Linked DNA regions of Saccharomyces cerevisiae S288C. The gene in region 2 interacts genetically with the main gene of each other region. Each region holds a gene or a part of one and is shown on either strand. Other genes may lie near its edges.

What was found. A genetic interaction does not mean that the proteins touch.
Region 1: mutations in RCO1 (region 2) and HDA1 together harm fitness more than expected from each alone (negative genetic interaction), as found in Saccharomyces cerevisiae (7 studies listed by BioGRID, with this or other methods).

Annotation. Positions count from the first base shown.
Region 1 is NC_001146.8:591,308-595,847, forward strand, and holds HDA1 (histone deacetylase HDA1), read left to right. Parts: upstream 1-1,919; coding exon 1,920-4,040; downstream 4,041-4,540. Other genes in the region: rRNA (cytosine-C5-)-methyltransferase RCM1, read right to left, coding at 120-1,592; serine/threonine protein kinase ARK1, read right to left, coding at 4,316-4,540. UniProt on the Saccharomyces cerevisiae protein: Responsible for the deacetylation of lysine residues on the N-terminal part of the core histones (H2A, H2B, H3 and H4).
Region 2 is NC_001145.3:412,410-416,536, reverse strand, and holds RCO1 (Rco1p), read right to left. Parts: upstream 2,556-4,127; coding exon 501-2,555; downstream 1-500. Other genes in the region: sister chromatid cohesion factor PDS5, read left to right, coding at 1-341; YMR075C-A (uncharacterized protein), read left to right, coding at 484-849; SDD2 (Sdd2p), read left to right, coding at 3,064-3,501; IRC21 (Irc21p), read left to right, coding at 3,664-4,127. UniProt on the Saccharomyces cerevisiae protein: Catalytic component of the RPD3C(S) histone deacetylase complex responsible for the deacetylation of lysine residues on the N-terminal part of the core histones (H2A, H2B, H3 and H4).

The DNA of each region.
Region 1 (4,540 bases), on a different chromosome or scaffold from region 2:
AAAATCTTCCTTTATGTGCGGGATGTATAGATTATTGAAATGTCTTTTCCGTAGTACTACAGCAAAAATGCAATAATACATATCAGATATACACATATATACATGAATGTTCTGAAAGTTTAATCTCTTTCAAAACAGACAGCAAAGAAACCAATACCACCGTCACTTTTTGGTAGTGCCCTGATACAACCCTCGGCAAGCTGTTGAGGGTCATAGGTGACTCCATCTCTAAAAACCTCTTCGAACTCTTCTACCTTGCCTCTTCTAGGCCAAGAAGGAATAACTTCTCTTTTTGGCGCTACTTTCCAACCCCATTCTCTAACTGACTTATCTAAAAGAAGGTCTATGACGACTCGTTCATTTTCTTCCGCATGAATGGAACATGTGCTGTATACTATTTTTTTAGCCGCTGGGAAACTCATTGCATGCTTTACCATCTGGAACTGAAATGAACTCAGCTTCGCTAACCTTGTCTGTAGTTCTTCCTTTGCTATAAACTCCTCTTGCTCATCCGGCACAATGCCACCATCGTCATCTTTATCATCAATTTTCCTTCTATTAAATGAGTCAAAAAACTTACGACCAAATATACCGCTACCGGAGCAGCTCGGATCTACAATAAAACAAGTAACGTCCTTATATTTTTCAGGAGTAGCGAGCTTTGTAAAATCACCTACATTGACACTGATGTTGGGAGAACAGCCAGCTATCTTGATCATTTTTTGTAAAACTTTTGCTCTTTCAGGATCCTTCTCGAAAGCGTATATTCGAGTATTATTGTCCTTCGGTGGTTCGGGATATATATAAGAGGCCGTATGGGTAGTCTTATTACCTGGAGCAGAGCAGGAATCTATCACAATATCACTTGGTCCTGGATTCAAAATGTGGGCTGGAAAACAAGAAGCACGATCTTGAATGATAATCTTCCCATGCTTATAAAGCTCATGTGCTGTAATTTTGTCAGACGGATGAATTCCAAACAAGTTTGGAATAAACTCATCATAATAGATAGACCCAGGAACTAGTTCAGACCATTTGTCTACCTTTAAAGTAAACTTCTTCCTCAATTCGGCTAACACCGGCTCAGTCTCACCATTTGGATGGCATTTTAATGGATTGATTCTAATCCATCTAACAGGAGGAAGGTCATTGGAAATATCCTCGCTTAATACCAACTCAGATAGCTCTCTTACTTTCAATTTGAGTTTCAATTTGACCATTTCGCTATGCAATGGGCTCTTAAACTTCAAAACATAATCTTTGATGGGGTGTTTGCCCATTTGAATTCTTTTCTGCTTAGACAACAGCAAATCATGGCAAAGCAATAACAAAGTTAGCCTTGAAAAGAGTGGTTTGCCCTTTTTCTTGGGTATATCTTCCAATATGTGTGCCTTTTTCATCACTTTCTCCAAATATGGTTTATATTTCCAACACGAATCGAGAACTGCATAAATATGTTTTGGATTACTTTTCAGCTTATATCTTTTACAGCTTTTCAGTACCAGCGTCTGCATAGAGCCGGAAATCCTTTCTTTTGCAGCCTCCTTCTCAATATCTTCTAGCACCCATGTTGCATCCCTGTAGAAATTCATGCTTTTTCGTAGCTAACTTCTCAGTGAAACACTTGGTGAAGAACCAGCTCTTCTCTTAACCTCATCGAATATTTTAGGCCAGTTTTTTTTTTCCTCACTTGCCATTTTCCCGCACCGTTTGGAAATCTCGAGGAAAATGCTTCTTTCCAAAAGTTTAATCAGGTCACTAATTAGGTAAATAGAGCTGGGAGGAAGCATATACAGTGTTTCGTCTGTGGAAGGAACTTTTATTTTTCTTAAATGTTTTAATTTTTAGTGACCTAATTCACATAACAAAATATTGAGAAAGGGAAAGTTGAGCACTGTAATACGCCGAACAGATTAAGCATGGATTCTGTAATGGTTAAGAAAGAAGTACTGGAAAATCCAGACCATGATTTAAAAAGAAAGCTAGAAGAGAACAAAGAAGAAGAGAATAGCCTCTCTACTACTTCTAAAAGTAAAAGGCAGGTTATTGTTCCCGTTTGCATGCCAAAAATCCATTATTCACCGCTGAAAACTGGTCTTTGCTATGACGTTAGAATGAGGTATCATGCAAAGATTTTCACATCGTACTTCGAGTACATTGATCCACATCCAGAGGACCCAAGAAGAATATATCGTATTTATAAAATACTAGCAGAGAATGGTCTGATTAACGACCCCACTTTAAGCGGCGTGGATGACCTTGGTGATTTAATGCTGAAGATACCTGTAAGAGCCGCAACCTCCGAAGAAATCTTGGAAGTTCATACAAAGGAACATTTAGAGTTTATTGAAAGCACAGAAAAAATGAGCCGAGAAGAGTTATTAAAAGAGACTGAAAAAGGTGATTCCGTATATTTCAATAATGATTCTTACGCGAGTGCTAGGCTGCCTTGTGGTGGCGCCATTGAAGCATGCAAGGCGGTTGTCGAGGGGCGTGTAAAAAACTCTCTAGCTGTCGTAAGACCACCTGGCCATCATGCAGAGCCTCAAGCTGCGGGTGGTTTTTGTCTCTTCAGTAATGTTGCTGTTGCTGCCAAGAATATCTTAAAGAACTACCCAGAAAGTGTAAGAAGGATAATGATTTTAGATTGGGATATTCATCATGGTAATGGCACACAAAAGTCATTCTATCAAGACGATCAGGTGCTATATGTGTCATTACACAGATTTGAAATGGGTAAATACTATCCTGGGACCATCCAAGGACAATATGATCAAACTGGTGAGGGTAAGGGTGAAGGATTCAATTGTAATATTACTTGGCCGGTCGGCGGTGTTGGTGATGCAGAATATATGTGGGCATTTGAACAGGTAGTTATGCCTATGGGGAGAGAATTCAAGCCTGACTTGGTGATTATTTCTTCAGGGTTTGATGCCGCGGATGGTGATACTATCGGACAATGTCATGTCACCCCAAGTTGTTATGGACACATGACACATATGTTAAAATCTCTAGCTAGAGGTAATCTTTGTGTAGTTTTGGAAGGTGGATATAACTTGGATGCGATTGCAAGAAGCGCTTTGAGTGTAGCAAAAGTACTAATAGGGGAGCCTCCTGATGAACTACCTGATCCATTAAGTGATCCCAAGCCTGAGGTCATAGAAATGATAGACAAAGTAATTCGGTTACAGTCCAAGTATTGGAACTGTTTTAGAAGGAGACATGCTAACTCCGGTTGTAATTTTAACGAACCTATTAACGACTCGATAATATCTAAAAATTTTCCTCTGCAGAAGGCTATTCGTCAACAACAGCAACACTATTTAAGCGACGAATTTAATTTCGTTACTTTACCGTTAGTAAGCATGGATTTACCAGATAATACAGTGCTATGTACTCCAAACATTTCCGAATCTAACACTATAATTATAGTCGTTCATGATACTTCTGATATCTGGGCAAAGAGAAATGTTATTTCAGGTACAATTGACTTATCCTCATCAGTTATCATTGATAATTCTCTAGACTTTATCAAATGGGGACTTGACAGGAAATACGGCATCATTGATGTAAATATACCTCTAACTCTGTTTGAACCTGACAATTACTCAGGAATGATTACATCCCAAGAAGTTCTAATATATTTATGGGATAACTACATCAAGTATTTTCCTTCTGTTGCCAAAATTGCTTTTATTGGAATAGGAGACTCATACTCAGGTATCGTACATCTGCTTGGTCACAGGGATACTAGGGCTGTTACTAAAACGGTAATTAATTTCTTGGGAGACAAGCAGTTAAAGCCACTAGTTCCTCTAGTAGATGAAACATTGAGTGAATGGTACTTCAAAAACTCACTTATATTTTCAAACAATAGCCACCAATGCTGGAAAGAAAATGAAAGCAGAAAACCAAGAAAAAAATTCGGTAGAGTTTTGAGATGTGATACGGACGGGTTAAACAATATAATTGAAGAAAGATTTGAAGAGGCTACAGACTTTATACTGGATTCGTTTGAAGAATGGAGTGATGAAGAATGAGGAAAAACTGGCCATTAATAATTTTTTTTCGGCAACCTTCATGCCTTATGAAAGTTGAATAATAATAAAGTTGTTACAATGTTCATTGTATAATCCAATATATCTAAAATAGGAAAAAGAAATGAACAAATGCATTAAGCTGTGTTTTACTAAGTATTATGGGAAAACGTATACATTAAAGTGGATGCTTACATATATAACACATTGTAATAAAGGTTCTTTGAACATGTTACCAGCCTCTTCAGAGATCGATCCGGTTCTGTTGAGCCAAATACTCACTTATCCAAGGATAACTTTCGTCCCGCGAGGAGCAGTGGTTTTGGAGGAGGTTTAGGCTTTAAATGTGAAGGCTTAGGTGGTGGGGTAGGTTTTGTTTTTTTGTCTTTTGAAATCGGGCCACTTGATTTCAGCATTGTTGGCTTATCTATCTCCCCTTTCTCATGCAGCTTGACCTTGGACATTTTCCTAGCGTTGAATGACTCCTCAGAAGAGTTGAGTTT
Region 2 (4,127 bases):
CAGAGAGCTTGACTGAAAAAATACAAAACAATATAAAAGCTAAAATCGGACGGATTCTTCACACGTCACAAACTCAAAGACAAAGGCTTCAAAAGAGGTTATTAGCTCACGAAAACAATGAATCACAAAAAAAAAAGAAGAAAGTTCATCATGCGAGATCACAGGCTGACGACGAAGAAGGTGATGGGGATCGAGAATCAGACAGTGATGATGACAGTTATTCACCGTCTAACAAAAATGAAACCAAGAAAGGGCACGAAAATATTGTGATGAAGAAATTGAGGGTCAGGAAAGAAGTTGACTACAAAGACGATGAAGATGATGACATCGAGATGACTTAGAAGGGAAAAAAACATCAATTGCTATGTTGTAAATGGAAAAAAAAGGAAAATAGGTAGATCTCTCACTTTAAGATGCGATACATATGCCTATGTATGTGTGTATATATGTAAGGAAGGTGTTCACGTTCCTGATTTATTCTTTATGTATGTACGCCGTTTCTATTCGGATTGGTTTTCGGGATTTTCTATGTTTAAAAATTTTAACAGTTCTTCCTTTGGTTTGGATTCGATAATCTTCTTTAAATATAACAGATGCTTTATTTCATCGCTGGAAAAGTCATTGAATTGTATAGAATCTAGTTCGTTCGGCACGACTACGTTAGTCAGTTCTTTCAAATCCCATAATTTTCTTAAGTTATTGCTTTTGGAAGCCGATTTATTGTTACTACTCTTGTCGTTGTTGCTAACTTGGAAATATATTAAAGAGGCTATGTCTTTGACCATATTATCCTCGCTATTGCCATTTTGGGATCCATTTGATACTAACTTATCTATTAAACTTTCTTGAAATTGAAAGAGTTTTCTTTTTTGAACCATTTTTGATTTGTAAATTTTATCAAAAAAATCATATTTAATGGAATTTTCATCTATTTGTGTAATTTTGAAATCTTGATTGAAATCATAATCTGTATGACTAGTTGTTGGTATGATTTGAATGTTCCCGTTATTTTGGTAGCCTATTTTTTGTAAAGGTTCATAATAAAGTTGGTTTTTCTTGTTTATCAATCGTTGTTTTTTCCACACCTTATAATTTACGCTATTATCTTCTTGACAATGGTGTATCTTTTTGTAAACTTTAGTTGGGGAATGTAGAGGACATTTCCATTTTGAACCTAAGTTCTTGAAAGAAGCCCTCGGTACACAATCCAAATGCCATGGAGTCTGACAATAATCACAAGTCATTATTAATCTTGAATTTTCTGGATGAGACCATGAACCTAGTCTGGTTTGATTGCATTTGTAACAAATTAAAAACTTACCTGAATTTGAATCTATATGTGTATCCGGGTTGTAAGAGTCCAATTTAGTTATGCTTTGGCCATAAGAAGTGTTAAACAATTGTCTATCAGTTAATGGAATCTTATCATTCTCATCAGAGTATTGTCCTCTCGAACCCGTTTTCACAGCAGGAAAGGTTTCTTTTATATAATTTGGTAGCTGGAACTGTTTTGGGTTGTGGGAATCGATATTGAAAAGTAATTTAGCAAAAATCTTGACGTTGTTATTTTGCTTAATGAAGTTGGATTCAATTTTTTTTAAAGTTGCCATTGAGTTATTTATGAAGATTTTAAACTTACATTCATTACAATGCCAATCACCTTTAGGCAGGTTGTTCGGATCAATTGGTGGGTCTAAGCAAAGAAAGTGAAAGGATTTGGGGCATGTATCACAGCATAAAAAAGAACCTGACTGATTACAAGCCGAACAAAAATCTTCATTCTCAAAATCTATGGTTGAATTGTTCTTGTCCCTGAAAATTTTTTCACTCGCATTCGATGTTGACTTGATGGAATTTTGGCCAAATAGTTTACTTTTTGAATCATAGGTAGCATTCGTTGAAAGTATTATTTTGGTTCTAATATTTGATAGCTTTTTATTATCGCGGTCGCTTTCAGGTTCACGGTCACGAGTTCTGTTTATTATATCGCCATTCCAACCAATAGTTGACCGTATATTGCTCTCTTCAGTCATGTTCTCAGTTAAAAACGTTTTCAAATCATTTCTGTTCAAATCCTGAAAATTTTTCGGCACCTGAGTAAATCTTTTACTGGGGACCAGCGTCATTTCTGAGTTGTTCGATTGGCCTCCCAAATTTTTTCTATAATTCCAAAGAGACTCTCGCTTGATTTTCTCAGAAGGACCTTTATTTAACGGCAATCCAGTGACAGATACCTTCGAATCTTCCGAGATGGTGGATGGCTCATTAAGTTTGATGATATTACCCTTGGAGTCCTTTTCAAGAAGTTCCTTGGGTTCTTCTTCCGGGATATTGTCTTCAACTGCAAGATTGCTATGCTCGTTCTTGAATGATCTTTCTATACCTTCAGAAGTGATGATCTTTCTCCTTTTCAAATCGTAATTTACATTCTGGGAGGATAGTCTCTTAGGACGTTTTTTCTCTTTGGAAGAAGATGAAGAGAGAGAAGAAGATGAAGGAGAAGAACTGTTGGAATGTGAGGGCGACCTAGTAGTATCTTTCTTGCTGGTGTCCATTGTATTATTATTAGCAGATGGTAATGGAAGTGTCTTTTATAGGTTTTTCTATGGTGATTATTCTCGTTTATACTTGGTATTCTTCTTCCTTCCTCTCGTGCTTGTTGCAAATGTTCAAACGCGTAGTGGGTACGTCGTTCTCTACAAAGGAATGAGGCAGATCTTGCAGCGAGCTACTAAAACTACCACTTATGGGTTAACACGATATATATGTATTTATATCTACTAATATGGTATTAAGGCTCAAAAATAACCTTGCAACAGAGAGCAATAGTATAATTTCCTACATGAGGAAGAAAGTTGCCTATTATGGTGAGCAGGTGAAATCCTAGCTGCGAACGGGAAACTTATTCGGACGAGAAACAGATGAGAAACAGATGAGAATTTTTGGGCTGGGTAAGCGAGAATTTTTATACCACTTGTGGTTCTACAAGGAGAACCAAGAGTAAAAGTTGAAAAATCTTCTTGCTCTCTGGATTACAATTCAGGAGGAAGTGTGTGCTCAGATATGGACCCAGAGTTACAAGCTATTAGGGAAGCCAGATTGGCTCAGTTGAAAAACAACAGTGGGGGTACCAACGGCGATAGAAATAGCGGTGCTAATAATGGTGGAGGTGAAAATTCCGCTCCCGTTGGTGCAGCTATTGCAAATTTCTTGGAGCCACAAGCTTTAGAAAGATTATCTCGAGTGGCCTTGGTCCGTAGAGACAGGGCCCAAGCAGTAGAGACATACTTAAAGAAACTGATTGCTACAAACAACGTCACTCATAAAATCACTGAAGCTGAAATTGTTTCAATCTTGAATGGTATCGCCAAGCAACAAAATTCACAAAATAACAGTAAGATTATCTTCGAACGGAAAGATTTCAGCGAAGATCTGAATTCATTTGACAAGCAGAATGCTAAAAATGATGACGACGAAGATGATGACGACTTCTTTGATTAGTTTATATAAACGAATAATATGTTTTTTCGTATAATGTTACATTTAGTACAAATCATATCCTTTATAGAACTAGAGTTAAAGTTACATTAATTATGTGTAGCAAAAGGACGAATAAGCAGAATATAACATATTAGCAGGTGCTTAGATTACACTCATAGAGATATGAGTAGTGACGGCATGAACAGAGATGTTTCAAACTCGAAACCAAATGTCAGATTCGCTGCTCCTCAGCGACTAAGCGTTGCTCATCCTGCCATATCATCCCCGCTGCATATGCCCATGTCGAAGTCGTCAAGAAAGCCTCTTGTAAGAACCAAAATAAGACTAGATCCTGGGCACAGTGCTCTGGACTGGCACTCTCTAACCTCCAATCCAGCGAATTATTATACAAAATTCGTTTCGCTACAGCTTATCCAGGATTTACTCGATGATCCGGTATTTCAAAAAGATAACTTCAAGTTTTCACCTTCACAACTGAAGAACCAATTGCTTGTCCAAAAGATACCCCTTTATAAAATAATGCCACCCTTAAGAATAAACAGAAAAATCGTAAAGAAGCATTGTAAAGGTGAGGACGAGTTATGGTGCGTTATAAACGGCAAAGTCTATGACATTTCTAGTTATTT